Linked DNA regions of Saccharomyces cerevisiae S288C. The gene in region 2 interacts genetically with the main gene of each other region. Each region holds a gene or a part of one and is shown on either strand. Other genes may lie near its edges. The genes, in order: SDS22, IPL1, MCM22 and YPI1.

What was found.
Region 1: of IPL1 (region 2) and SDS22, a mutation in one rescues a mutant of the other (synthetic rescue), as found in Saccharomyces cerevisiae (7 studies listed by BioGRID, with this or other methods).
Region 3: mutations in IPL1 (region 2) and MCM22 impair growth when combined (synthetic growth defect), as found in Saccharomyces cerevisiae (2 studies listed by BioGRID, with this or other methods).
Region 4: of IPL1 (region 2) and YPI1, a mutation in one rescues a mutant of the other (synthetic rescue), as found in Saccharomyces cerevisiae (4 studies listed by BioGRID, with this or other methods).

Annotation. Positions count from the first base shown.
Region 1 is NC_001143.9:73,042-81,690, forward strand, and holds SDS22 (type 1 protein phosphatase-activating protein SDS22), read right to left. Parts: upstream 6,842-8,649; coding exon 5,825-6,841; downstream 1-5,824. Other genes in the region: PEX1 (AAA family ATPase peroxin 1), read right to left, coding at 1-824; palmitoyltransferase YKT6, read right to left, coding at 1,891-2,493; MIA40 (Mia40p), read left to right, coding at 2,780-3,991; threonine--tRNA ligase MST1, read right to left, coding at 4,217-5,605; ACP1 (acyl carrier protein), read right to left, coding at 7,119-7,496; DPH2 (2-(3-amino-3-carboxypropyl)histidine synthase), read left to right, coding at 7,994-8,649. UniProt on the Saccharomyces cerevisiae protein: Regulator of the mitotic function of yeast type 1 protein phosphatase.
Region 2 is NC_001148.4:155,990-159,779, reverse strand, and holds IPL1 (aurora kinase), read left to right. Parts: upstream 1-2,186; coding exon 2,187-3,290; downstream 3,291-3,790. Other genes in the region: RKM1 (protein-lysine N-methyltransferase), read right to left, coding at 187-1,938; signal recognition particle subunit SRP72, read left to right, coding at 3,568-3,790. UniProt on the Saccharomyces cerevisiae protein: Component of the chromosomal passenger complex (CPC), a complex that acts as a key regulator of chromosome segregation and cytokinesis.
Region 3 is NC_001142.9:672,384-680,725, reverse strand, and holds MCM22 (Mcm22p), read left to right. Parts: upstream 1-3,947; coding exon 3,948-4,667; downstream 4,668-8,342. Other genes in the region: MET5 (sulfite reductase (NADPH) subunit beta), read left to right, coding at 1-1,769; TTI2 (Tti2p), read left to right, coding at 2,020-3,285; protein transporter TIM8, read right to left, coding at 3,492-3,755; SGM1 (Sgm1p), read left to right, coding at 4,874-6,997; XPT1 (xanthine phosphoribosyltransferase), read right to left, coding at 7,106-7,735; NMD5 (Nmd5p), read right to left, coding at 8,058-8,342. UniProt on the Saccharomyces cerevisiae protein: Component of the kinetochore, a multiprotein complex that assembles on centromeric DNA and attaches chromosomes to spindle microtubules, mediating chromosome segregation and sister chromatid segregation during meiosis and mitosis.
Region 4 is NC_001138.5:152,157-160,217, reverse strand, and holds YPI1 (type 1 protein phosphatase-activating protein YPI1), read left to right. Parts: upstream 1-7,093; coding exon 7,094-7,561; downstream 7,562-8,061. Other genes in the region: YFH7 (Yfh7p), read right to left, coding at 1-919; YFR006W (putative Xaa-Pro dipeptidase), read right to left, coding at 2,466-4,073; mRNA splicing protein SAD1, read left to right, coding at 4,345-5,691; proteasome regulatory particle lid subunit RPN11, read right to left, coding at 5,905-6,825; linker nucleoporin NIC96, read right to left, coding at 7,683-8,061.

The DNA.
Region 1 (8,649 bases), on a different chromosome or scaffold from region 2:
ATCTTCTTCGAAGGGATACCAACTGATTTATTATCTGAATCGCTTTTCTTGGACTGCCTTAAGCTACATTTTACGATAGAAGCGTAGCCCTTCTGAGAAGGCAATTGTGCCCCGTCACTGATATATACGACAAAAAGGTTATCTTTAGGGAAGTCCATTTTGCACACAGTACTCCTCAATATTACCTTCTTTAAAAGTTGGATAGCCCCATTTTTTAGTATTGTCTTATTACTATGACCATACTCAGCCTTCACCAAACGTGTTTTATTGACTTTTGGTGCCACAACAACCAAGGAACCATCTGTGATCCTCGCAGACTTCATTGATGGCTCCACCCTGTCAATTTTGAACTTTGTAACAATTCCTTCCAAATAACAAATCAAAGTCTCACCTGGGGTAACTATACGGGTTTGGTGCAAAATCTCACCATTTTGGAACCTCATCGCATTGGCATCGATAATTTCCCAATCATCACTCGTTTCTGGCGTGACATACACCTCCGTAGCCAGGTGTGTGTGGTCATATCGCTGGATGTATAAGTCCACCAATGGAGACTTTTGATTTAAATCATATACTGTGGCCAAAACAGGATTGATAAGAACAACATTCTCACTCGATCCAGAATCATGGCCATCCCATCCAAGATGAACAATAGGTATATCTGAATTATGAGAATGGACTGCTATACCGAATTCCTGGATAGCGTAGTTGGTTGACTCTAACACGTTTATAATTGAATGCGGTAACCTTAAAAAGTTTCCTACTATGGCATTGGAGAATTGGATTCTCAGATTCTCAAACTTCAACCTCTTGGTCGTCGTCATTTGAAAGAGCAGTTCCTCAGGTGTTTCTTGTTACTGCCGTCCCTTCCAGAAGAAATTCGACGATGACAATAGTCGGAGAGATATTCCGGACCTTTATAATTGCGGCTACGCACAAGAATAAATCGCGATAGTAATCGGATATAAGACAATAAAGTCCAGCTAACTTGGTTGGAGAATTCGACAGATTACCATGAATATAGAAATCGATGTTTTTTTTTGTCCACGCCGATTGATCAGCCATTTTTTTTTATCAGGGTCGCAACTGCCCTGTGCAAATAAGAAAGCCTGAAATGGTTGCACAAAGACCACAAACAAGGGCATACGCCAGTACAGTATTATGGACTCATGCCATCGAGGTTACATAGAATTAGTTTAAACAAAAACCAACTATCCTCTAATATCCATGGTACGAGTATATATAATTGTATGAAGTGTAAGAATATGATATAAATAATGAGAGCACTCATAGAGAGTAACGGCGCTGAATTGTAAGAACTGTCACGTAGTAACACAATCACTGAAAGCATATAAAGTGAAATGAGAAACGGTAGTAATATCATATGCATTACCAATTCCTTTTAGTGAATTTCCATGTGCCCGAGGGGGGACTTCCAGTATATTCTGTTACATTTAAGTAAATACTTCATCAACAAATAGGGCCCAGCGGTTTCTTACACTAATTATACATTTACAACGTAAATGCTCCAGCTCAAGCATTATTTATATATCTTGTTTTCAAAAGAAAAATATAGCAATTAGACTCCATGGCCAAGTTGGTTAAGGCGTGCGACTGTTAATCGCAAGATCGTGAGTTCAACCCTCACTGGGGTCGCTTATTTTTAACTTTTTTACACTGAAGAAACAAATCAATTCTAATACAATGCCAATGGCTTCAAATCAACCTTTGGTTATAATAGTTAGGAGAATCGATGCTTACATAGTATATTATTTAAACAATTAATTTGATTTAAAAGATTTTTGTTTCCCTTGCTGCTGTCATTGGCTTTCTAAATTACATAAAGCAGATGAAAAGCCACACTATGCTGAAAATAGTGTGTGGATGCATCTACATGATGATGCAACACGAATTGGATTTTTTAGCTTGCTTATAAAACATTTTGGAACTTGCCGTTAATGACTCCGATTTGTCCACCAAATTATCCAACTTTTCACCTCTTTGTAAAACATTCTCAATCGTTTTGTGCAAAACGATTTTCGTCTCATCCAGTTCTTGTTGAACTTTCATGATAGCGTCAGCCTGTGAAGGATCTTGATATTTGCTAATGTAAGTGTCCAGTTGCTTCATTTTCAATGCATCATTGGTCTCAGTCACATCTGCCCACTCTTCCTTAGGATGTGCGACTAAATATTCATCCAATATTTTGTTTAATAGTGTGTATGCTGGTCTGACAGGATATTCTTTGTCGGTGATCAAAACACCACATATGCCCTCACTCCTGGCATAAACGTGGCCAATATAGTTGCCTTCTTCTATACTTTGTCTTTGTCCTGCACCAGTTCTAGAAGCGACCGTTTCAGCAAAAAAAGTCATAAACTGGCCAACACTAGACCTTTCAAAGAAACCAAATTGTGACAAGTCTTTAACTTCACTCAACTCTAGAGCCTTTTCTCCTCCAGAGCGAAATACACCGATGTAGTAGATTCTCATTGCCAAAATAACTTCTCTAGTGATACGTAAAGCTTCAGAAATGCCCTAGCCTGGTCTAACGCAGTCAAACTGTGCCAGAGACTTTTGTATATTGTTCATGTTGATATCTATTGTGCTTGCTCTTGATTTCACACCAAGCCAATCGTTCTGTACGGCACGCCACCCAATAAGAAAAAAAGGGAAAAGGAGCCGAATTTTGGTTTAAAAACATATAATGCTGAAATTGTGGAACACCAATTACCAACTGGAAGTAGGCTCGATCCAAAGAGTGTATATTATCAGTAAAATGCTTCGCAACTTAGTCGTCAGGAATGCGTGCAGAAACAGGCCGTCAATTCAAGTGGCAAGGGGGTTATGCCGACACCAAACAAGACGTCTCATGGCGTCCTCCCCTCAGTTCGGTAGGAACTCCAATCAGGAAAAAACAGCGGGCTTTATAATGGGGATTCTTTCTATGGCTGGTGCTTTATATTTTATTGCTCCTAATAGGAAGCCTCTTTTCGCCTCAAGGAAGGTAGAATCCGATAAAACCGCAGAGGAAGAGCTTTCCAGTGGTGGTGAGCAATCACCAGAAAATGAAGATGACAACAACAGCAAAAGCGATGAAAATGGAGATGACAACGACAGCAAAAACGATGAAACTGAAGCTGGCCCTCAATTAGGGGGTGATAAAATTGGTGCTTCAAAAGTAGCTGAAGATGGTGAATTGGTTGTTCTAGCAGAAGAAGACAACAAGTCTTCCGAAGATAAAGATACTGATGAATCAAAGGTATCAACCAAAGATGATGAGCAATCCAATGAAGACAATGCCACCGCTAACAATCAAAAGGATGAAAACATAAGTTCTGAGAACTCGGAAGAAAATACTAGTGACAAAACACTAGACAACAATGCTGGATCTTCTGAAAAAAAAGATCCAGAACATTCAGATGATGAAAAATCGCAACAGGGACAATCTGATGACAAGACAACTACTGAAGATAATAATGGAGAAGAAGAATCCTCAAAAAAAACTGTAAGTGACTCGGAAAATTCAGCTAAGCAATCTGAATCTAGCGATGAAGAGAAAGAAGAACTAAGAAAACAAGAGGAAAAGCAAATGGGTCCTACTGAAGAAGAGGTTCAACACGAAGGTGCTTATAACCCAGACACTGGTGAGATAAATTGGGACTGTCCTTGCTTGGGAGGTATGGCCCATGGACCCTGTGGTGAAGAGTTCAAATCTGCATTTTCTTGCTTCGTCTATTCTGAAGCTGAACCAAAAGGTATCGACTGTGTTGAAAAGTTTCAACATATGCAAGACTGTTTCAGAAAATACCCCGAGCATTATGCAGAACAACTAAAGGAAACATCTGATGATGAGGAACCTCAAGACAAAGTAAAGGTCAACACAATAGAATCAGCGCCAAATGTTTCAAGCGCAAAGGAAAATGCTGCGAAAAAAGCAGAGCAATCAGATGTGAAAAAAGAACCATTGAATGAGGAATCCAAACCTTAAAATCTCCTGAAAATCTCCCGAACGTAAAAAGTATAAAAGTATAAAGGATGATACATGTAAATACAGTAATATTATCTTAGTTTAATGACTACATATGGTATAATATGTGAAATATACATGAATTAATGCATCTGTGGGGCGGATGAGTCTAGTCTCTGTATGAATCCAGCTATACATCAAATCGTATCCTTTTATTTACAGGGCAAGTTTGTCATATATTTTAAGTTACTTGTAGTTTTTTTCCAGCTCAATAAATTTTTCCCAAATTTGAGACATTGTAAGTTTCTCGAAACTCTTTCTATTATCACGTTCTCGAATGTTGTATTTCTGTAACTGTACTTCCTCATCACCCACGATAATTAAATAGGAATAGTTTTTCAAAATGGCCGACTTGATCCTATACCCTACGGGTTCGTTTCTTATGTCGAGATCAACATTGAAATGCCAATCATTTAAAGGAACTGGTTCCATGTCGTCGGCTTCCAGTTCATTACGTAGTTTTTTCTGCAAGGCAGTGCACATGTCTAGCTGTTGCACATTTTTCGTATTGACGGGAATAATTACAGCTTGGTAAGGATTCAACCAAAACGGCCAACGGCCCTCATTAGAATCTATCAGTAAAGCCATAAATCTTTCGATAGAACCAAAAGTAGCTCTATGAATCATAATTGGCCTCTTGTACGAGTTGTCTTGATCCTTGAATTTCAAATCGAACCTCTCAGGTAGCTGAAAGTCCAACTGAATAGTAGCGACTTGATGAGTTTTGCGTAAATGGTCCGTAACCATTATATCCAACTTTGGACCATAGAACGCACCATCACCAGGGTTCAGTTTCCACGGTTTGCCTGATTCTTCCAAGATTTCCTTGAGTACTTGCTCAGCATGATTCCAAACTTTGAGGTCTCCAATGAAGTGATCCGGTCTTGTAGAAAAGTTTATAAAATAATTGCTCTCTGCTCCAGAACCTCCTTTAACAAAGGGGAAAATTTTGTTGTAAACTATGTCGATTAATTTTAAAGAGTTGAAAATTTCTGATTTCACTTGGGAAGGAGTGCAAAAGATATGACCATCGTCTTGATGGAACTTCCTTAGTCTAGTCAATCCCGACAGTGCACCAGAAGCTTCATTTCTATGTAGTGGTGAAAAATCAGAGAAGCGTAGGGGAAGTTCGTTATACGATCTATCCTTTTTACCGAAGATCAGACAATGGCCTGGGCAATTCATCGGTTTTAAACCGTATTCCTCCTTTTCTTCATCCGTAGTTTCCACCTTAAACATGTCATCAGCATAATTTTCCCAGTGACCAGACTTTTCCCAAAGAGTCTTTTTGTAAATCAAAGGCGTCACAACTTCATTAAAACCAAATTTGAACTTTTGTTGTAACTTCATAAACTCTATCAATTTGTTGAAAATCTTAGCACCATTTGGAAGAAAGAACATGGATCCAGGAGATAGTGGATCTGTCATGAAAAGATCTTGCCTCTGAGATACCATGGATGTCATAGTAGCTGGAGTCGCCGACGAAGCGTTCTTAGTGGCCTTTCTCGTAGAGTAGAAAGCACGATTCCAAAGAGCATTGCGAGAACAATGCCATCTTACAAGTTGTATTTTCATATTGCGAGACAGAAGGACGTGCCCTTAGCTATTGCATATGTTTTTCTTTATGTAGTTCAGCAGCTCTTCTTTTTTTCATGCTCGAGGTTTTTAAGGGCGAACTTTAACTAGATGGATTATTCAGTTTTTTTTAAAAGGATCAAAATCCTACATTATATATATATATATATATATATGTTTGTGTGTGTATATAAAAAAAAAATCATTTCTTGATCAAGATCAGCCTCTTATATATGTCGCATCAATCTTCTGTAGGGATGGAGGTAAGTTCATAGTCAGTTTTCTTCTATACGAAGTCTTATTTTCCAGTTGAATAGGGTTTCCCTCCAGATAAATGGTCTCCAAGCGTGATAGGGCGGACAGGTTTTCACCCAAGCTCTCAAAGGATTGATCTATCTTGTTAAAGGAGGCCCATATGTCAGTTAAATTTGACAGGTGGTTCAAGTTTTCCAGGGAGGTAATTTTGTTGGAGGTCACGTCCAAAGTAGTTAGTTTTAGGTTTTTCTCTAGACCTTCAATCTTGGTGATGAAATTATGTGACAGATAGAGCTCTTCAAGATTGGTCAACTCTTCTAGATTTTCAATTTTTTTTAATTTATTAGATTGGATGGACAATATCTTCAAATTCTTTAAAGGATGTAAGTTAATAAGTCTTGGTATGGAATTTTTACCCAACCAAATTTCTTCCAAGTTTGACAGACCTTCGAAGGAATCGGGTTCAATAGAATGAACCTTATTACCACCTAATTCTAAGTTTTTCAGTGATTTCAAAGTGGACAGATTTTCAATTTTGGAAATGCTGTTCTGCACGAAGTATAAATTCTCCAGATCAGTCAAATTTTCTAGATTTTTGATGTGCTTGATCTTGTTAAACGACAGGTCTAGAGACGTTAATTTGGTGAGCTTATTAACATTAGAGGAGATATGTTTAATTTTGTTATCGTAAAAATCAAGGTCAACAATCTTGTCATGGGGTAAAACTTCCACTTCGCTTATGCTTTCGATCAGGTTCTGTCTGAGACATAATTGTTTCAAATTCTTGAACCTATAAAGGTTCAAATCTTCTAACGATTTGATTTTTAGATGGACCAAGTCAATAACCTCTACATCATCAGGCAGATCTTGTGTCAGTTCCGAATCTGCAGTGATGAAGTCAGGATTTGTATCGTCTACAACCTCAATCTTGTGTCTTTCGTCTTTTTCTTCACTATCTTTGTTAACTGAATTCTTATCCATAATGATGGCTATGTGGTGCTAGATTTCTTCCGACTTCTTGCTATTTTCATTCAAAAGGTTATACATGTTTTATTTTTCAACAGTACCTTAATATATAATAATTCGGGGCCAAAATAACAAACAACGAGAAAAAGGGAGGAGAGAGTAAAGTATAGTATTAACAGGGCTGGTTATATAGATATATATATATACGGGTCAATCGATCTATTTATATACATACGAATATAATATGACATGGGGGTGACACGATACAATATAATAGAGCGGGGACGGACACTTAGTTTGCGTCGGGATTGGAAGCGATATAATCGACCGTTTCACCAACACTTCTCAACTCATCAGCCACTTTGTCAGGGATTTCAATATCAAATTCTTCTTCAATAGCTACGAGCAGCTCGACAGTGTCCAAGGAGTCCAACCCCAAATCCTTGTGAAATTGGGTATCGCTGGAGATTTGCTTGTTGGCAATGTTGGGAGAGTTCTTATCAAACGCCTTGATAACATCAATGACCCTTTGAGAAACCTGATCTTTGCTCAAGTTTGCAGAATAAAATCTTTGTGCGAGTATGGTGTTGGACATAACGGAACGGCCCATTATAGTGCGGTACGCAGAAGGTGCCACGCGGGAAGAAATGCGGCAAACGGATCTAAACATGGCAAGGAAGGTGCTGTATTGAGTTAGTTGTGTTGTTTGTACTAATTACACTGCAAGTGTGACTATTCTTCCTTTTGCTTCGTCATCACCACCTTTCTCTTTTACTCAGAACCCGTTCGAAGGGGCGAAGAAAGAAGCAATTGACAAATAATCTGTATTCCGTCAACAGTGATATATGTCACGTGACTCTGATAAAACTCCATGGAGTCTCTTCGGAGTGTATGTGTGAAAAGAATAATACATATAAGACATCTACAGGATCAGTCTGATAGTTTTAATGCTATGGTAGACTTCAGAATGTCTTTTTAAGTATGCCATTTGGTTAAATCTGTCCTTTTATATGTACTTGGTGCTTCTTTTTTCTTTACTTTTTTTTTTTTCAGTGAGAAGCTCATCGCAACAAGAAGAAAAAAGACTAGTTCAAAGGTAAAAGAGTTAAGATGATTAGTGATGGATTTCTAAGTGGCAGCGTTGAAAGATCGTGCAAAGGTTGAAAAATGGAAGTTGCACCGGCCTTATCGACTACTCAGTCGGACGTGGCGTTTCAGAAGGTGGAGACACATGAAATTGACAGGTCTTCATACTTGGGGCCATGTTATAATAGCGATGAGCTTATGCAACTTATCTCGGCTTATTACAATGTCGAGCCTCTCGTGGGTTATCTGGAACAGCACCCGGAGTACCAAAACGTGACCTTGCAGTTTCCTGACGATTTAATCAAGGACTCCTCGTTGATAGTAAGGCTGCTGCAATCGAAATTTCCCCATGGGAAGATAAAGTTTTGGGTTTTAGCTGACACAGCGTACAGTGCATGCTGTGTAGACGAGGTCGCTGCTGAACACGTACATGCAGAAGTCGTGGTACATTTTGGTGACGCATGTTTGAACGCCATCCAAAACTTGCCCGTGGTTTACTCATTCGGAACTCCATTTTTGGATTTGGCACTGGTGGTGGAGAACTTTCAGAGGGCATTCCCAGACTTATCCTCCAAAATTTGTTTGATGGCAAACGCACCCTTCTCTAAGCATTTGTCACAGCTGTACAATATTTTGAAGGGCGACCTGCACTACACAAATATCATATATTCCCAAGTGAACACCTCTGCGGTAGAAGAAAAATTCGTAACCATACTTGACACCTTTCACGTTCCCGA
Region 2 (3,790 bases):
GCTCATTTCCATGTTTTATACACAAATATCGGGCATCGCAGCTCCATGGCGAAAAATTTCATCGAAGCCATATTCGGATACCCGGGACACTTCTGACCAATGAGAACCCAGTTTGTTAGTAAGTGCATTTATTAAATAAGTGCAGATGTAATTACGTACTCTACTCTAACATTCTATAAGGAAAAGCTACTTACGTACTAAAATAGTCTCTTCGGTTGTAGATGAAGTTCTGGTAAAGGAATTGTCTACTACAAACTGAATCGCATGATCTACTTCGGCCAAATCCACATCGTCTTGCTTCTCGAAGTATGCAGTATGGAAAGCCTTGGCATCATCTGAAATATATGCAGTTTGCTTGAAATTAGTATACTGCTGTCCAACCCATTCATATTTGGTGGGGTAAGAATTCTTTTTCGTTTTCAGTAGAATCCAAAGTATCAATAAATCATAAGTAGATTCAAAGATGACCTCTTCACCATCTTCGTTGCTGAACAGCGAAGGTAATTCAGTTTCTGCAAAAGCAGGGTCATTCTTAAGAATTTTGCTCATGGTTAGCAATTGGTGCTTGTTCTCTGACAGCATTGTTTTTTCTAGTTTTTTCAACCTCGTTAAAGCCTCTTTTAAAATTTGTTTTTGACCTTTAGTATAAACGTCAGCACAATAGACTCTGTAAGGATCAATTGCATAAGAGTCATCAGTTGCAGGTGGTCCAGTAATGCTGTTGAGTTTGCTCTGCAATGCATTTCGTAGCATTTGTATACCCTGCAAACGGGCTCTCAAATCGTGTAGATCCTCCTCTTCGGCCTTAGAAAGGTAGGTAAAAAGATCCAGTAATGGTTCTAAACATTGTTCATTTTGTATGTTAATGAAGTAAGTCACCCCATTGATGTAGTCTGTAGCACTACGAGTAGCCTTCTTTTCTTGCTGGACACAGTCTTTGTTTTCAAAAGCATAAGTGGTGTAATCCGAAAGTAAGGGCAGCTTCAAACTAGGTTCTGTTTCAAGAATTGTAGATACCACATCTAATGGCAATTTAACTTTCAAAGCCACTGAGTCAAATATGTTGTCTTCTAAAACAAATCCATATCCAGAGAGTAACTCCTCATTTCCCTTACCGCCATAATTATTTGATAGTTCTCGTGATTGGGAGGCGGTACCGATTTTTTCATAACAGAACCACCCATTTTCAGGATACCATTTGACTTTGGAACGGTAGTCATGATTTAGAAGATCGACGATGGGAAGCAGTACAATAGAGTTGTCAGGACAGTTTCTGTTTAGCACATATTCAGGGAATGCTCTTGAAATGAATATAAGGTGCGACCATAAAAATGCAGGAAAAGAATACCAGATAGTTGGTCTTTGAAGTTCTGTTATCTTCAAAATCTTCTCATACAAAGCCTCATATGTCAACTCATCGAGATTATGGAAGGTCTGCACATCATCTGCCACTCTTTCCAAGTCAAACATATCTGAAGAACTGACCAGTTCAAACCACTCTTTAAATATACCTTCGAACTTTTCATGAATCGAATTCCCTATGTTTGTAGATGATAAACGCTTCAACTCGCTTGGGTTCCAGACCAAGGGCGAATTTAGGCGGGAAGGCAATGCATCCAAGTAAGGTTTAAATTTATCATTCACACGAACATTGTCCACGATAGTATCATTATCCCTATCAAATTTTATTTTTGCGAAGAACAACTTCAGCCATCCGTTGATATTCTTAGTGGATTCACTTAGCCCAAAAAACTTCATGGGCAGATTCCTTGAAATGACAATCTCGGGAGGAATCTTGATGCTGGGATTGTCTATATCTTTTTCACATACGCAAATAATGCCCTTAAGATCGGTATATAAAAACTTGAGTTCCTCTGGCACTATTACACCAAATGACGCACCCCACTGAAGTAGTGCTTTTAACGCATCTGATGACATGATAGTCTTCTCTTGTATCTATAACCTTTGTGCTCCATTTTCCGATACAGCATTGCTTATTGAACAGTAAGTTTAACTTCACGCGTTTTTCCTGTAAAGCGCTTAATTTGTTTACCATTCTATAAAAACCTTGAGCTAAGGCCAACTGATGCAATTGCTCAAGTGAATGCATAAACAAAGCAAGATCATTCTTAGCGCAAAAAAAACTGGGATTTTGAAATACAACAAAAGAAAGAAGTAAAAAGGGAATGCAACGCAATAGTTTAGTAAATATCAAACTAAACGCTAATTCGCCATCGAAAAAGACCACAACAAGACCAAATACGTCCAGGATCAATAAACCATGGAGAATATCCCATTCGCCGCAGCAAAGAAACCCGAATTCAAAAATACCTTCACCTGTAAGAGAAAAATTGAACAGATTACCTGTAAACAATAAGAAGTTTTTGGATATGGAAAGCTCCAAAATTCCATCACCTATAAGGAAAGCGACTTCTTCCAAAATGATACACGAAAATAAGAAGCTACCTAAATTTAAATCCCTATCACTCGATGACTTTGAACTGGGGAAGAAATTAGGAAAGGGTAAATTCGGTAAAGTTTATTGCGTTCGGCACAGGAGTACAGGATATATTTGCGCACTGAAAGTAATGGAGAAGGAAGAAATAATAAAGTATAATTTACAGAAACAATTCAGAAGGGAGGTAGAAATACAAACATCGCTAAATCATCCGAATCTAACTAAATCATACGGCTATTTTCATGATGAAAAAAGAGTGTACCTGCTAATGGAATACTTAGTCAATGGGGAAATGTATAAACTATTGAGGTTACACGGACCCTTCAACGATATTTTAGCATCAGATTATATTTATCAAATTGCCAATGCCCTAGATTATATGCATAAAAAGAATATTATTCATAGAGATATTAAACCTGAAAATATACTAATAGGGTTCAATAATGTCATTAAGTTAACGGACTTCGGATGGAGTATAATAAATCCGCCAGAAAATAGAAGGAAAACTGTCTGTGGGACAATTGACTACCTTTCTCCAGAAATGGTGGAGTCAAGGGAATATGATCACACTATAGATGCATGGGCTCTTGGCGTCCTGGCGTTTGAACTACTGACCGGTGCCCCTCCGTTCGAAGAAGAAATGAAAGATACTACATATAAAAGGATAGCAGCACTGGATATCAAAATGCCCAGTAACATTTCTCAGGATGCGCAAGATTTAATACTTAAACTACTAAAATACGACCCCAAAGATAGAATGCGCCTTGGAGACGTAAAAATGCATCCTTGGATACTAAGAAACAAGCCCTTTTGGGAAAATAAGCGGTTATAGAATTAAAGTATGACAGAATCGTTTGAAGGGCACTATTAATCACTCCCGCACATATCACATAATACTAAGTATCCATTTCTAATATTTCATTACTCTTTTCGGCATCGTATATTGCGATATTTGATTAAATTTTCTTGTTCATTTTTTCCTCTTTTCTTTCGCCTTTGTCGAAAGAAAAGAGGAAAACAAGCTGAAAATTGCTATGCATTAAAGTAGCAGATTTACTTTGTTGAGTTGGTTCTGATCAATAATAAGAGTAATGAAAGAAAGCAAAAAAATGGCTAAAGATAATTTAACTAATTTGCTCTCTCAATTGAACATTCAATTGTCTCAAGACGAGCATTCGCAGGTCGAACAGACTTGCGTGAAACTATTGGATTCTGGATGTGAGAATCCAGCGGATGTATTTAGACGTTGCTTAGTAGCTGTTATCCAACAGGACAAGTATCAAAAGGCTTTACATTATTTAAAAAAATTCAAACATATAGATGACAAGTACG
Region 3 (8,342 bases), on a different chromosome or scaffold from region 2:
AGAGAGAATCTAATTTCTTGAGAGGTACTATCAGTGAGAACTTAAAGGATACTTCTTCAGGTGGTGTTACTCACGCTAATGAACAATTAATGAAATTTCACGGTATTTACACCCAAGACGATCGTGACATTAGAGAAATACGTAAGTCACAAGGCTTAGAGCCATACTATATGTTTATGGCAAGAGCTCGTTTACCAGGTGGTAAGACCACTCCACAACAATGGCTTGCTCTGGATCACTTATCTGATACTTCAGGCAATGGTACCCTGAAATTAACAACAAGGGCAACCTTCCAGATTCATGGTGTGCTAAAGAAGAACTTGAAACACACATTGAGAGGAATGAATGCAGTTCTTATGGATACATTAGCTGCTGCAGGTGACGTGAACAGAAATGTCATGGTTTCTGCTCTACCAACCAATGCCAAGGTTCACCAACAAATCGCTGATATGGGAAAATTGATTTCTGATCATTTCTTACCAAAGACTACGGCCTACCACGAAGTTTGGCTGGAGGGCCCAGAAGAACAGGACGATGATCCATCCTGGCCATCTATTTTTGAAAACAGAAAAGATGGTCCAAGAAAAAAGAAGACTCTAGTTAGCGGTAACGCTTTGGTCGATATTGAACCAATTTACGGTCCAACTTATCTGCCAAGAAAGTTTAAATTCAACATCGCCGTTCCTCCATATAACGATGTGGATGTATTATCTATCGATGTCGGTTTAGTTGCTATAGTTAACCCAGAAACTCAAATCGTGGAGGGTTATAATGTTTTTGTTGGTGGTGGTATGGGTACCACTCATAACAACAAGAAAACTTACCCAAGATTAGGGTCATGCTTAGGTTTTGTTAAAACTGAAGACATTATTCCACCACTTGAAGGTATCGTTATTGTCCAAAGAGATCACGGTGACCGTAAAGACCGTAAGCATGCTCGTTTAAAGTATACTGTAGATGATATGGGTGTCGAAGGCTTCAAGCAAAAAGTGGAGGAATACTGGGGTAAGAAATTCGAGCCTGAGAGACCATTTGAGTTTAAATCTAATATTGATTACTTTGGATGGATTAAAGATGAAACTGGGTTAAACCACTTTACCGCATTTATTGAAAATGGTAGGGTTGAAGATACACCAGATTTGCCTCAAAAGACAGGTATTAGAAAGGTTGCTGAATACATGCTTAAGACTAATTCTGGTCATTTCAGATTGACTGGTAATCAACATTTGGTTATCTCTAATATTACAGATGAACATGTTGCTGGAATAAAATCTATTTTAAAGACCTATAAATTGGATAACACCGATTTCAGCGGTTTGAGATTATCTTCATCTTCCTGTGTTGGTTTGCCAACATGTGGTTTAGCGTTTGCCGAATCTGAACGTTTCCTACCTGACATTATTACTCAGTTGGAAGATTGTTTAGAAGAGTATGGTTTACGCCATGATTCCATTATTATGAGAATGACTGGTTGCCCTAACGGTTGTTCTCGTCCATGGCTAGGTGAATTAGCTCTTGTTGGTAAAGCTCCACATACTTATAACTTGATGCTTGGTGGTGGTTACCTCGGCCAAAGGCTAAACAAATTGTATAAGGCCAATGTGAAGGATGAGGAAATTGTCGACTACATCAAACCATTGTTTAAAAGGTATGCTTTAGAAAGAGAAGAAGGGGAACACTTTGGTGATTTCTGTATAAGAGTAGGTATCATTAAACCAACCACCGAGGGTAAATACTTCCATGAAGATGTGTCTGAAGATGCCTATTAATGATAGCATATGACATAGTAGGACATACTATTGGGTTTTCTTCCCACATTTATTTATTTTTTTCGCAATTGAATATAACTTTTTATTTTATAGAAACATATTTATTTGTATAATCTTGTATATTAACAGTTAAGACTCATTATTGTTATCCTTCGGCTAGTTCGGTTTTTCAATAGCAGATGAGAAACGAAAACTATGAAGAATGAAAACGAGGTGAAGAATAAAATCATATAACAAAATATTGAAAAGAATGACGGCCGTAACTGATATCATCGATGAATTGAATGATTCGAGTCTTTCTTCTACAAGGCTTCGAGAGTTGTGTCTCCAGTTACGAAAGAAGACAGATACTGGATGTGCAATTACGGTGTCCGATGAGGTCAACCTTATTGAATCTCTCTCATATCACTCCATATCTCCAGGAGTAGACATACAAATCAACACAGATGTTTTGCAGACTATAGATTACTACTTTCAGCGTAACAAAAGTGAACATGACGAAATTATGTGCGTCCTTATTTCTAAGTTACAGCCACTACTTTTAAAACGCAAAAGCAACTTCGAACTCAAAGAGCAACGTAATCTTGGTCTCAAACCCACGCTTGGAATGTCTTTGAAAGAAGATAACCTAATGCAGGCGTGGGTAAGTCAGGGTGGCTTGAAAGGCATTCCGTTATTCTACGTAATTCTGTTACATTTGAAAAGGAGAGACATATCTACGAATCTTTCTTGGATTATTCCAGGAATTCTAAACATACTAGATGATACCACTGATATAAGAAGAATTAAACTTCGTGGTGTTCTGCTCCTACAGACGCTATTAAATCATACCTTTATGAACGAAACCAATGACTCAAAATGGATACAGTTCTCTAGTACTGGTTTATTTCCACTGTTCGAAAAGACGCTAATCAATATGTGCTATTTTCTCCCTCCCTCATACAATGCTGATGAAACAATAGCCATATGGCGGGTCGTTTTCCCAACGATACAGTCGTTATATAAAGTAGAATTTTTGGACAATTACACAAAGTATCAATATCACCTGGAAAAGTTCATGTCAGAGATAATCTTGCAAAACATAATTCCTAGGGCTAGCCTTGCATACGAAAATTTGACGTTATACGCATTGGAATGCACAATGAACATACTGAGACTTCAAAGAGAAGGGTCTGTTGTACATCTCCAGAGGCTGATTTTTGTTTTAGGTGAATATATTGTACGAAATCCTTTTTACACAACTTTTCCAAAACTTATTTCAAAAACTCTTTCAGTGGTAAGTACTCTCATAAAGGTTTGCCCGAATGAAAGAATAGTGGCTCACAGATTCGACATTTTATCATTAATTCTAGTTACATACGATAAGTGTTCGCAAGAGGATGCGTTGAACGAATCAATACTACAACAATGTAAGGAAACGATAAGCTGGTTGCTGAATTGTGACTGCGCTATGGGTGAACAGTTATCGACTCTATCTAAGCAACCGCGGTTTCAGTTACTTTTTGAGTTCTCATAGGAAACAGACACAGACACAGACAAATGCATATACATATATATATATATATAACTAGACAGTATATAAACAAAAAGAGTTATTTGCCCTTTATGCTGAAGAATCCCTTTTAAAGAAACCTTGGACATATATTAAAATATTCATTTGCTTATTTACAGATATATTAAGGTAAAGAGAATAATGACTCGGAGAGATAAATCGGTTTCATATTAACGGGTGTTTTGCAACCCGTTCACAATCCTGATATTAGTATCCAAAAACCGATTCACACAGTTAGACAAACATTGCTCTTCTTGCGAACTTAAATTAGAATCATTGACAGACTCAACACATTTTTTGAAGCATATATTAGTGAATTGATGGATTGACATCTGGACTTTTTGTTTGGAGTTCTCTCCCTCCAAGAAAGTAGCAATTTCCTTTTTGGAAGTGTCATCAAGGGAGGCCAAATCAGACGTTGATAGAGAAGACATTCTTTGTTGTTTGTAAATTTGTTTTCCTTTTTACCTCTTCTTCAATACTTTCATATAAATGAATGTTTCCATCAATTTTTACGTTAGTTAATAACTAACCGTTCGCTTTGATATGCAGCGTAACAACAAACAAGACGCATATGACGACAAAGAGGGACAAGAGCAAACGGCAGAAAGTCTCACAAAGGAAACATGGATGTTGAAAAGGATGTCCTGGATGTCTACATAAAGAACCTGGAGAACCAGATCGGAAACAAACGATATTTCTTGAAGCAAGCTCAAGGTGCCATCGATGAGATCACGAAGAGATCTCTGGATACAGAGGGTAAACCGGTCAATTCTGAGGTCTTTACAGAGTTATTAAGAAAACCCATGTTCTTCTCAGAGAGAGCTGATCCTATTGGTTTCAGTTTGACATCGAATTTTTTGTCTTTGAGAGCCCAAAGTTCCAGTGAATGGCTCTCGCTTATGAATGATCAATCAGTTGATCAAAAGGCCATGTTATTGTTACAGAATAATATTAATAGTGACTTGAAAGAGCTGCTACGAAAACTGCAGCATCAAATGACCATTATGGACAGTAAGAAGCAAGATCACGCCCATATTAGAACACGAAAAGCCAGAAATAAAGAGCTTTGGGACTCACTGGCGGACTTTCTCAAGGGTTATCTAGTACCGAATTTGGATGATAATGATGAATCAATAGATAGCTTAACGAACGAAGTCATGCTGTTAATGAAAAGACTAATTGAGCATGATTTGAATCTGACATTAAACGATTTTTCATCTAAAACGATACCAATATACAGATTATTACTTAGGGCTAATATAATAACAGTAATTGAGGGCTCTACAAATCCAGGGACTAAATACATCAAACTAATAGATTTCAATGAGACCAGTCTAACTTAAGTAATACTTCGTAGTCAAAGTGTGCTTCGTAGTGGTGTGAGGATGTTATAAAGCGCCAAAATTTAGAAGATCATAATTTGGCAGTAACCGTAGATTATTCACCAAAAAGCTCTTGACTTCCTCTTTTAATAGACTGTCGTTAAAAGGTCCTTAGTCCAGAATAGTATATAAAAAGTGTTGTATGGTAGTGGTATACCAATTTTGCTATGAGTAAAAAATTATCGTTGGAAGAGAGACTCTCCTTGGCAACTAAGAAAGGAAGAAAGAAAAATAAAAGGTCAACGTCAAATTTGTCGTCTCCATCGCCTGTGGTGCTGTCAAACAATGAACAAGAAAGTGCTCGTACATCCATTGATGATGCGGCTGCCGGTGTGGTGTCAATTGACAATGCTGAAAACATAGATGATCCTGCGGTACGATCAGAAAGCACTGTGGAAGGCGATACAGGTAAGGCAGATTCAATCGCTGTCGATGACGTGGTGCATCCCGATCACAATAGGACTGATTGCTTCGACGACACTATGGTATCACTGCCTACATGGCTACCTAAAAATTACACTGAATTTACTGTTGAAGAATTAGTCAAAGAAATTAGTCCTGAATATTTAAGATTAAACAAACAGATTGATGACCTAACTAACGAACTAAACAGAAAATCACAAATCGAAACCACGGATTCTAGTTTTTTCAAATTGATTAAAGAGAAGGACGACTTGATAGATCAGTTGAGAAAAGAAGGAGCTAAATTAGCGGAAACTGAGCTGAGGCAATCAAATCAAATCAAAGCTTTAAGAACAAAAGTGAAAGACTTAGAGTATGAGGTATCTGAACTAAACGATAGTTCTGCTCAGAGTGTCGAAAACTATAATGAGCTGCAATCATTGTATCACAACATACAAGGACAACTGGCTGAAGCTACAAATAAATTAAAGGATGCAGATAAACAAAAAGAGTCACTTGAAACATTAGAGAAAAATATAAAAGAAAAAGATGATTTGATAACAATTTTACAGCAATCTTTAGATAATATGAGAACATTGCTTGAAAAAGAAAAAAGTGAATTTCAAACGGAAAAGAAAGCACTACAAGAAGCAACAGTTGATCAAGTTACCACTCTAGAGACTAAACTAGAACAACTAAGAATAGAATTAGATAGCTCTACTCAAAATTTAGACGCTAAATCAAATAGAGATTTTGTCGATGACCAACAAAGTTATGAAGAAAAACAACACGCATCTTTCCAATACAATCGGCTCAAAGAACAGCTTGAGTCATCAAAGGCCAACTGGGATAGTATTGAATACGCTTTGAACACTAAAATTGTGAACTTGGAAAACCGCTTTGAATCTACAATGAAAGAAAAAAATGATATTGAAGAAAAATATCAAACTGCCTTACGTTCATCTGAAACATTAGGTAAGCAATTAGAAAAAGAAAAAGAGAATCATTCGAAGGCAGTTTTGGAAGTGAAAGACTTGGAGAGACGGGCGGAGACATTGAAGTCATCATTGCAAAGTATAAGTGATGATTATAATCTACTGAAGAAGAAGTACGAAATTCAAAGGTCTCAGTTGGAACAAAAAGAGAACGAACTAAAACCACATCAAGAAAACAGCAATGAGAAAATTATAGATAAAATACCTGTAGAATTAACAGATAGTTTAAACTCCATGGAGGGAAATATAGAAGACGAATGGACTTTACCTCAAGAAAATTCTATGCTGTCATTATCAATGTCAAAACTTGGCGAATTAGAAAGCGATCCGTCTCTAAAACCCATTTACAATGAATCTCACGAAACCATATGTAGCGAAGAAAGCCAACATTTTGATAGAAAAAATGTGGATTTCAGCATTGACGATATTCCAGAAGAGGCCGCTGCTTTACAAGCAATCAGGGAAGGGGAATCAATGAACTCGTTAAACAACACATCAATACCATACAGAAGAGCTAGCGTCCAGCTATCGAATTCTAACGGCCACATAAGCGCTCATCTGGTGAACAAGTTAAGTACGGAGTTAAAAAGATTGGAAGGTGAATTATCAGCATCAAAGGAATTATACGATAATTTACTGAAAGAAAAGACAAAAGCAAATGATGAGATTTTAAGACTTCTGGAAGAAAACGATAAATTCAATGAGGTAAATAAACAGAAAGATGATCTCTTAAAAAGAGTTGAGCAGATGCAAAGTAAATTGGAAACCTCCTTACAACTATTAGGTGAAAAGACTGAACAAGTGGAGGAATTAGAAAATGATGTGTCCGATTTAAAAGAGATGATGCATCAACAAGTTCAACAAATGGTAGAAATGCAAGGAAAAATGAGATAACTAGAAATACACTCTTATCTTTAGATTTAGGTTAAATATGAAATAATTACCAATGATAACTATATGTATCTATATACATGCAACCCCATCGCAACATACTGTTTGTCATCAGTCATGACCTTGAGCCTTAGCGAGCATGGTATGTTCTTCGATATCTTCAGCGTCCCATGGATAGCACAACCACTTATCAGGGACAGTTTGCGCAGCAATGTAACGTCCAGAATTCATCATGGAGTCAGGTAGTCCAGCTCTCTTTGGTTTGTCCTTATTATGTAGAACAAAGATAGAAATAACGGTTTCCTCACTCATTCTATTCAAAACCTTTTGTTGTTCAGCAATCTCTTTTTCCAGCTCAGAAACAGCATAGTGGAGGGTAGTTCTAGTATCGTCAACTTCATCCACAATTAGGACCTTTTTACCAATTAAGGAATCGAAATGTTGGTTCAAAGCACCGAAGTCCAGCCATTGTGTTCTGATGACCTCTTTGCCGATAGTTTCGACGCTATTATCCAACCCTAAATCTTCATACAAAGATAGGCCGATGGCCTGAATCGGAATATTCTTTTGTCCTTTAGTTTTCAAAAAGGACCTAATAATTCTTGCGGGGATCATACCACCACCAGTGATGGCGATAATAATATCAGGTCTTTCGTTTCTAGCTAAGATATGTTTAGCCACTCCCTGACAAAGCTTGTGAATATTATTATAGGAGATGTACATTCTCTCATTTTCGGCCATCTTGGTACAAGTATATTTTGAAGTGATCAATGTTTATGAAATCTAGTACAAGGATGGGCTATGCAAAAGAAAGACTGACAAAACTCAGATATTTTTCTTTCCGATTTAACTACGATTCTTTCCCCAGCTTAGAGATAAAAAAAGCTTGTGATTTTTTTAGGTTCATCGCATTGACTCCAGATAAAAAAAAAAGATCTTGATATCAAATCAAAGTCAACTGGCCGAGGCAAAGGCAACAAACTTTGAGCATAATATCCTCTCTCTTCTATCTAAATTATGTAATCCAGTGTTTGTTTCAATATACAATCGCCATTTAATTCAATTAGGCATTCATAATTCCCATGAATAGTTCTTGATCAGCCGGGGTCAGATGTCTCAAGATTCCCTGATATCTATTGCTGTCAACATGTTGTAAGTTCGCAATGGACTCCTTGAAAACCTTGTATACGTCAACTGTGTCCAGGATCGACCCCGTTAATGGGTCCTCTTCTAGGTCATCGAAAGTTTCCTTTGCGTCATAACCATCTACGAAGTCCAAGGAATCGGCTCTATTTTTTATCAGTTCCAGATATTTCTCAGTAAGGTCTCCCTCGTCATCATTTTCATC
Region 4 (8,061 bases), on a different chromosome or scaffold from region 2:
CCACCCTTTCTTCGGTGGCCTCATAGTCTATGTCAATCTTATAAACAAGAAGTGCTCCCGTATCAGCTAATGTTTTGTAAATTTTCTTCCAGTTTTCTTGGTCATACAGTAGGTATAACCCTTCAAGTATAACTATCCTTGTAAATTTGGAAATACAGTACTGATCTGGAGTTGGGTCTTTTAGTGCATGGTTAAATCCTGGAACAAAGATATCAGGAATTGTTTGGCTAAAAGTTTTGGATAACTTCTCAAAAACGCTTGAAGTGGAGTAAAATTTATGATGTGAGGAGACCTTACATAGGGACGTCTTGGCTAGAATTTTACACAATTGTAAGAAATTGTTACTGTCAAACGTTGAGGGCGAACCTCTTCTTTTATGGGCAGTTTGTGGGTCTTTGAATAGGTCTAGACATCTGCGAGATAAGTGAAAACCATCCATTGGGACTATTTGCGCTATATTGATACTATCCTGGGCCAACTTGTTAACATTGACTGGATTATCAACTGCTGCGATTCTTATGGCATTCGCAGTACCACCTCTGGCAACTACTGCGGTACATTCTTCATTATTTGATGTAAGGGCTGAGTACTTGACTGGTTGAAAATTAACATCCTCAACATGATCTTTAAACAGCCCCTGATTTTCAATCATTTCAGCTACTTTATTGGGCTGGAGCGTCTTTAAAGAGTCTACTAGGTTAACCATAGGTTTCAACCTATCATTAACCTCAATAACATTTGGATGCTCTGACAAAAATGTGTGATATTTTTCATTTATAATTTGACAAAGTTCTTCCGCAATAGTAGACTTACCGGAGCCTGGAGAACCGACTAGGATAACACAAACCCTATAATTATCTTCGATACGGTTATCCAATAGCTGAAGAACGTCGTCTGCTAGTTTATGCGTATCGACCATTGTGGCTAGAATGATCCTCTGGTATGATACAGGATAAAATATGTATAGTACTAGTGAAATTAACCTAACAAGGTTACTTCATTTTTCCCGAAGAGCAATACTTGATGATGCTTAAAGGTACGCATTTAATGAACGAAAAATAACACAGTTCGTTTGAGTAAAAAGAAAGCTCACAAAATTTAATACAGAAAAAAAATTATATGTAAACTGTGGACAAGTCTGATAAGCCCAGATAACCCTTCTATTTCACGAAGGTGCAAGTGCGATTGAAAAGAATTGTTTCATGGCATTAGCTATCAGGACACGAATGCATAATCGTCAAGATATTATCGGTATGCAGCAGTTGAAGTTGTTATTAATGTTATAAGGCACCATCATATGTGGCTTTGGGATGATCTTCCGCCGATTGGTGTTCATATTACAAAAATTTTATCACGCTCGAGGTTAGAAGATGGCATCAATTATGAGGCATGAATAACAAGGTTTAAGCACTAGTAATCATAGCGGATGCTGAAACGCCAAGGTTAATGAGTTCATAAGATTAACGAATAACGAGAACTTAGGTATGAGTCAAAATTTTACTTTCATAATAGATTTATCGAAAATGTGATCAATTTTCTGAATAATTTGATAACTGTTGGGATTGCATTGTTGATCAAGACCATAATATTATGTACACAGAATATGCTAGAAGTCTCCTCGAGGATGTAGGAATCCTCAAAATGGAATCGGTAGTTCTACATAATAATATTACGATTATTCCCCATTCCGTTTTATATGTTTCATTATGCTATTACATTATCAATCTTGCATTTCAGCTTCCATTAGGGTTGATAACTGTTTCTCAACTTTTATGTCATCTTCCTGAACCGCATATGATAATATGCCAATAACATGAATATTACCAAATGGATGGCATTTCAAATTATTACTTTAACAAAAAGGAACCAAATAACTCATATAATAATTACCTATTTCTCAAATAGGTGGACGACGGTTTATCCAATTCCAACAATAATAGTAATTACTAATATTATGTAGATTTTTCGATCCAAGTCCTCGAGGGCGACTCATAGGAATGCTATCTTCAATCAACAATGACATCCGAATAATTATCTCAAGTTTTACAACATTCTCAAATATTATGGTAAAAAGAAAACTTTGCAATCTGCAAAATTCTCGAATTCTGAATCGCTAGATTTCCTTATGAGAAAAGTCACATTTAAAGGTGTTAGCAGCTAGTTATTATAGTCCTATAGTTCCTGTAACAATGAATTTTTCATAAATAGAAGCGGATTTAGCTCAGTTGGGAGAGCGCCAGACTGAAGAAAAAACTTCGGTCAAGTTATCTGGAGGTCCTGTGTTCGATCCACAGAATTCGCATTCATTTTTTGCTCTTCGGGGTTGGTCCTTAATTTTTTCAGTGCCATTCCTTATATTTCCAAATCTAGTTAAATGGTGAATCCAAGATTATAAAAAAAATATACAATTCTGTGTACAAAAGAATATACTAAACTTCTAGAAGCGAGTAAAAAAAAGTTAATACCTAAACGATTACGTGGAAACCTGAACGGGGTTTCTTCAAACCTTTTTGAACGATTTTTTCAATTTCATCAGGGTCAGAAGTAATACCAGTTAAGTTCTCGTAACCATCTTTGGTAACAAGGATATCATCTTCAATTCTAACACCACCGACATACATGTATCTTTTCAATACGCTCATATCGACAACTTCCAATCTTTCGGGGTGCTTTTCCAAAAATTCTTTGATCAAAAATTGATTAAAGTAGCAACCTGGTTCATTAGTGATAACCATATTTTCTTTCAAAGGACGGCGGATTCTTAAATATCTAAACATTGGATCTGGGTCGTCATAGTTTGGATTACCACCAACGTCGTGTACATCAAGCCCCAACATATGCCCTAGTCCATGGGGATAAAAAGCGCAAGAAGCTCTTCTTTTAAAGATTTCGTCCTCAGAAAACTCTTTCTTGAAAATACCCATACTTAAGAAATGTTTAATAAGAACCTTGTGTGTCAGTGCATGTAAATCGTCCCATTTAGCACCAGGTTTAATCCTTTCCATTGCTTGGTTTTGCATGTCAAGAACGGTTTCGTAAACTTCACGATGTTCCGCAGTAAACTTGCCTGAAGTTGGGAAACATCTGGTGATATCACTTGTATATTGTCTCCATTCTGCACCTGCATCAATTAAGATGGAATGTTTACCTTTGATATCTTCTGAATTCTTGACGTAATGTAAAGTGCCACATGCCGGTCCAGAACAACAAATGGGGTCATAGCCCAAAGAACGACCACCTTGACGGGTTGCATGGTATTCAAATTCAGCTTGTATTTGTAACTCGTTCAGTTCGATGGGCAACGCGGACATAACGGCCAAATGGCTCTTGTCTGAAATCTGACAAGCTTTTCTGATGCTTTCAATTTCATACCAATCCTTAATTGCTCTAGTTTCATCCATAGCATAAAAGAAGTTAGGGTCTGAAGGAATTAGTGATCTTGCAATATTCTCGTCATGAACATTGTCCAAATCGGTTGTAAAGATAGCGAAGTCTTGCAATTCTTTAAATTTTTTCCCCAGATCAGATATGTACAAGGCCTCATCAATGTCAAACACTCTCATTGCCTCATCCAAACTCAAAGGCATACCGCTCCATATGACATCTTCTTCATCGATGTTTGGCAAAAACAATGTCAGCTTATCTGTGCTACAGTTAAACAATATCGCCGAAGCAGGTATATCAACACCTGACAAATGATAAAAATATCTATTCTGTCTAAAATCTTTGTTGGTGTCACAATACTTGTTTCCCTCTAATTCTTCACCAGCAATAAAAAATGCTGTGGATATCTTTGATAGCTTCGGATTGCGATTTAACAACAAATCTTTAACCCTCAAGTTATGTTCTTTCGCAGGATACTTATGATTTCTTATCTTGACCGGAATTTCATTTACGTTTGCTACCTCGCCCATTTCTTCCCCTTTTTCTTTACTGTAATAATACTTATCTTTGTACTCTGGCTGTAAAATTCCTCTTGTTCTTTGCCGTTCTCCACGTTTGAAATACTTCACCAAGCCAAAGAAAAACACCAGGGATCCGAAAACAACAAGAGAGATTGGTTCAAGGCACATCACTCCAACAACAGATCAGGTATATACCTATATTTCCCAGGTTTTCCTACAGCTCGACCTGGAAAAAAGATGACACAGTTTCTGAAGAATCGCCGTAGCGGAAAGTGTCAATTGAACCTCCCTCGCGTATAGTAAGCAATGCCAAAAAAAAAAAAAAAACTGGAAAATCTTGATAAAAAAATGACGAAATAGGAAAAAAAATTGGCAGCAATCTAACCATGCTCTTCATGGTTCATCATTTAGTGGGCGTTAACCTAAAGCGCTGTTTATAATGGAGGTTGATAACAAAAGGAGACATTCAGAAGATGAGTTAAAACAGGAGGCAGTAAAAAAGATAAAGTCTCAGGAACCAAACTATGCCTATCTTGAGACTGTAGTAAGAGAAAAACTAGATTTCGATTCTGAGAAAATTTGCTGCATTACTCTGTCCCCTTTGAATGTATATTGTTGCCTCGTGTGTGGACATTATTATCAGGGGAGACATGAAAAGAGTCCTGCTTTCATACATTCAATTGATGAAAACCATCACGTCTTCTTGAATTTGACAAGTTTGAAGTTTTACATGTTGCCGCAAAATGTCCAAATTTTACATGACGGTGAGGTTCAATTGTTGAACAGCATAAAATTTGCAGCTTATCCGACTTATTGTCCAAAAGATCTAGAAGATTTTCCGAGACAGTGTTTTGATTTGAGCAATCGCACATATCTGAATGGATTTATAGGGTTCACCAATGCGGCAACTTATGACTATGCGCATAGTGTATTGCTTTTGATATCGCACATGGTTCCAGTGCGGGACCACTTCCTACTGAATCATTTTGATAATCAAGGGGAATTTATCAAAAGGTTATCCATATGTGTAAAGAAAATTTGGTCCCCTAAACTATTCAAACATCATCTTTCAGTTGACGATTTTGTATCCTATTTGAAAGTTAGAGAAGGTTTAAATTTAAATCCTATAGACCCGCGTCTCTTCCTTTTGTGGCTATTCAATAAAATTTGCTCGTCCTCGAACGACTTAAAGTCAATTTTAAACCATTCTTGTAAAGGCAAAGTAAAGATAGCAAAAGTTGAAAATAAGCCTGAGGCCAGTGAGTCTGTTACAGGAAAAGTCATTGTCAAACCATTTTGGGTTCTGACTCTCGATTTGCCGGAGTTTTCACCCTTTGAAGATGGCAACAGCGTTGATGATCTCCCACAAATAAATATCACTAAATTATTGACTAAATTTACTAAGTCAAGAAGCTCCTCTACTAGCACCGTTTTTGAACTAACGCGATTACCGCAGTTTTTAATATTTCATTTCAATAGGTTTGACCGTAACAGTGATCATCCTGTCAAAAATAGAAACCAAACGTTGGTGGAATTTTCCAGTGAACTTGAAATTTTGCACGTCAAGTATCGCTTAAAAGCAAATGTGGTCCATGTGGTCATTAAACAACCATCCACAGATGGAAACGCATTTAATGGTGATGAAAAAAGCCATTGGATTACTCAGCTGTATGATAACAAAAGTGAAAAATGGATAGAAATAGATGGCATAAATACGACAGAGAGAGAAGCCGAGCTTTTATTTTTGAAGGAAACGTTTATACAAGTATGGGAAAAGCAAGAGTGAAAGAAAAGAAAGTAAAAAAAAAAATTGGCACTGGGACTACCAGTAGCCATTTCATTTTTACTGTTATTTAAGGAGCCTTTTCCCTCCTAACGCGTTTTCTCTTTCCCATTCATTCCATTAACTACTTCATTAGAATTTTTAGAAAAATACAATATAATATATATGTAGTGGGCTTTCTAGTTATTTAATGCATAATGACTTTATAAAATTTGTTTATTTAATTGCCACTGAATTAACACCCGCCGTCAGCACAGAAACAATATTGTTCTCTAGTGTCTCATCTGCTGTTTCGGAAAGGTGCTTCTTTGGATCTTGCCTACCAACGTATCTTGTCTTAAGTTCTTCTTCGGTTAATTCCTTTTCCTCTTCTATTCTCTTAGAGTACTGTTCGGCTATCTTAACCATACTCTTTGTAGCAGCCAAATTTGATTCTTCTTTTTCTTCATAATCGTACATCTTAAGACCTGATTGCCACTGTTCTTTATGTAAGTTCATTAACATCTTGGTTTCCTTCGCGGTTTTATGATAATCAATATTTAAAGAATAGTAATGCCTATTCAGACCGTGAATTAAGGCTTGAATGTTGGCCTTGTTCAATAAGCCTGTGTTGGAGGTTGTTTGTCTAGGCTCTAAGTTATTTATCAATGCGCCCGTGTCAATCAATCTAAAAGCATCGATGACAACTTTTCCCTTAACGGATTGAATAGGGTCAACAACGACAGCAACAGCTCTGCTGTTTAGTTGTTCAAAAGATTTTTGAGTATTAACATCAACAGAAGATAGCCAACAGCCAAACCCTGGATGAGAGTGGTACCAGCCAACGACCATTTGGTCTCTGCCCGTTTGTTTTAACATGTCCATCATCTTCGCTTGGAAAACATCATCGACAGCCTCAACAGAAACTCCGGTACCCGATTGAGGCATCGCAAACACGTCCACAACGTTAACCGTATAATCATCGACAAACTCACCTAACATCAACCCCATGACTTCCATGGGAACACCAGCTCTACCATGCTTTAGCATCTTTAAAAGCGCAATCGAAGAAATATAAACAGTTTCTTTCGTATCGTCACGGCCGGTGTCCGCGGACCCCACCTTACTATTCATCATCAATCTCTGTAGTCGTTCCATTATGTCTCGTCTTTCTTGTTAAGTCCTCTTAATTGTGTTATCACCTGCTATTTTTCTTTCTCAATATTAATACTGGTCATAAACCGTTTCTTAGCTTAAAGGCTTTTCTTGTGAATTTGCCACCTTGGAGGTCCGAAATCATCAGCGACGTGCGTTTCAGTATAAACAAGGGGCCGTATTTATCATTTAGAAACAATTCGAGTCAAGGGTCCCAAGAGCTTATAACTGCCAGGAGTTGCGAGCTAAGTCTTCAATTAAGTCTATAAGGATGAGTGGAAATCAAATGGCTATGGGATCAGAACAACAACAGACCGTAGGGTCCCGAACGGTGAGTGTGGAAGAGGTTCCCGCAGTTTTGCAGCTTCGAGCAACTCAAGATCCTCCAAGAAGCCAGGAGGCAATGCCTACAAGGCACAATGTAAGATGGGAAGAAAATGTGATTGACAATGAAAACATGAATAAAAAAAAGACCAAGATATGCTGCATTTTTCATCCACAAAATGAGGATGAAGAAGAGTGCAACCATCATTCAGATGATGATGGATCCTCTTCTTCCGGATCCTCTTCTTCAGAATCTGAGAATGAGAAGGATCTTGACTTTAACGAACGTAGACAAAGAAGATTGGAAAGGCGCCATCGTAAACTTGAGAAAAAAAGGTCATATAGCCCCAATGCTTATGAAATCCAACCAGATTATTCTGAATACAGGCGAAAACAGCAGGAAAAGAAGGACTGAGGCTTTGTACAACGAAAGCCAAAATATTCGATGAAGCAGCAAATGGCTTTTTATACTTTTACTAAGTATGCGCGCATACTGATATATAGATATAAACAAAAATATACAATATTTAAAAAAATCATAGAGAGACGTCTATATTAATTAAAGTGCTGTACGTTTCCCTTGGCATTCTGTATTGAATCATACCAGCATAAATCATACATTGTCTCGCAACATTTTTTAAGGAATCAATTTGTTGACCTTTTGTGGACGATTGATACTTACTTTCGTTCAAGATATGAATCATGTTCGATATACAGCTTAGAGTGATAATCAACAAATTTGGAATATTTTTCACAATGTTGTCATCTAAATTAGAGAAATCTTGTGCTTTCTTTCTAGCAGATAGCTCGTCTGAGAAAGGAAGTAAATCCAATAACTCCATTTGGGATAGTGTTTCTTGCCATTGTTTATTGAAATATAGCTCCCTGATAGAGGAGATATTTAAGAGCAGCATA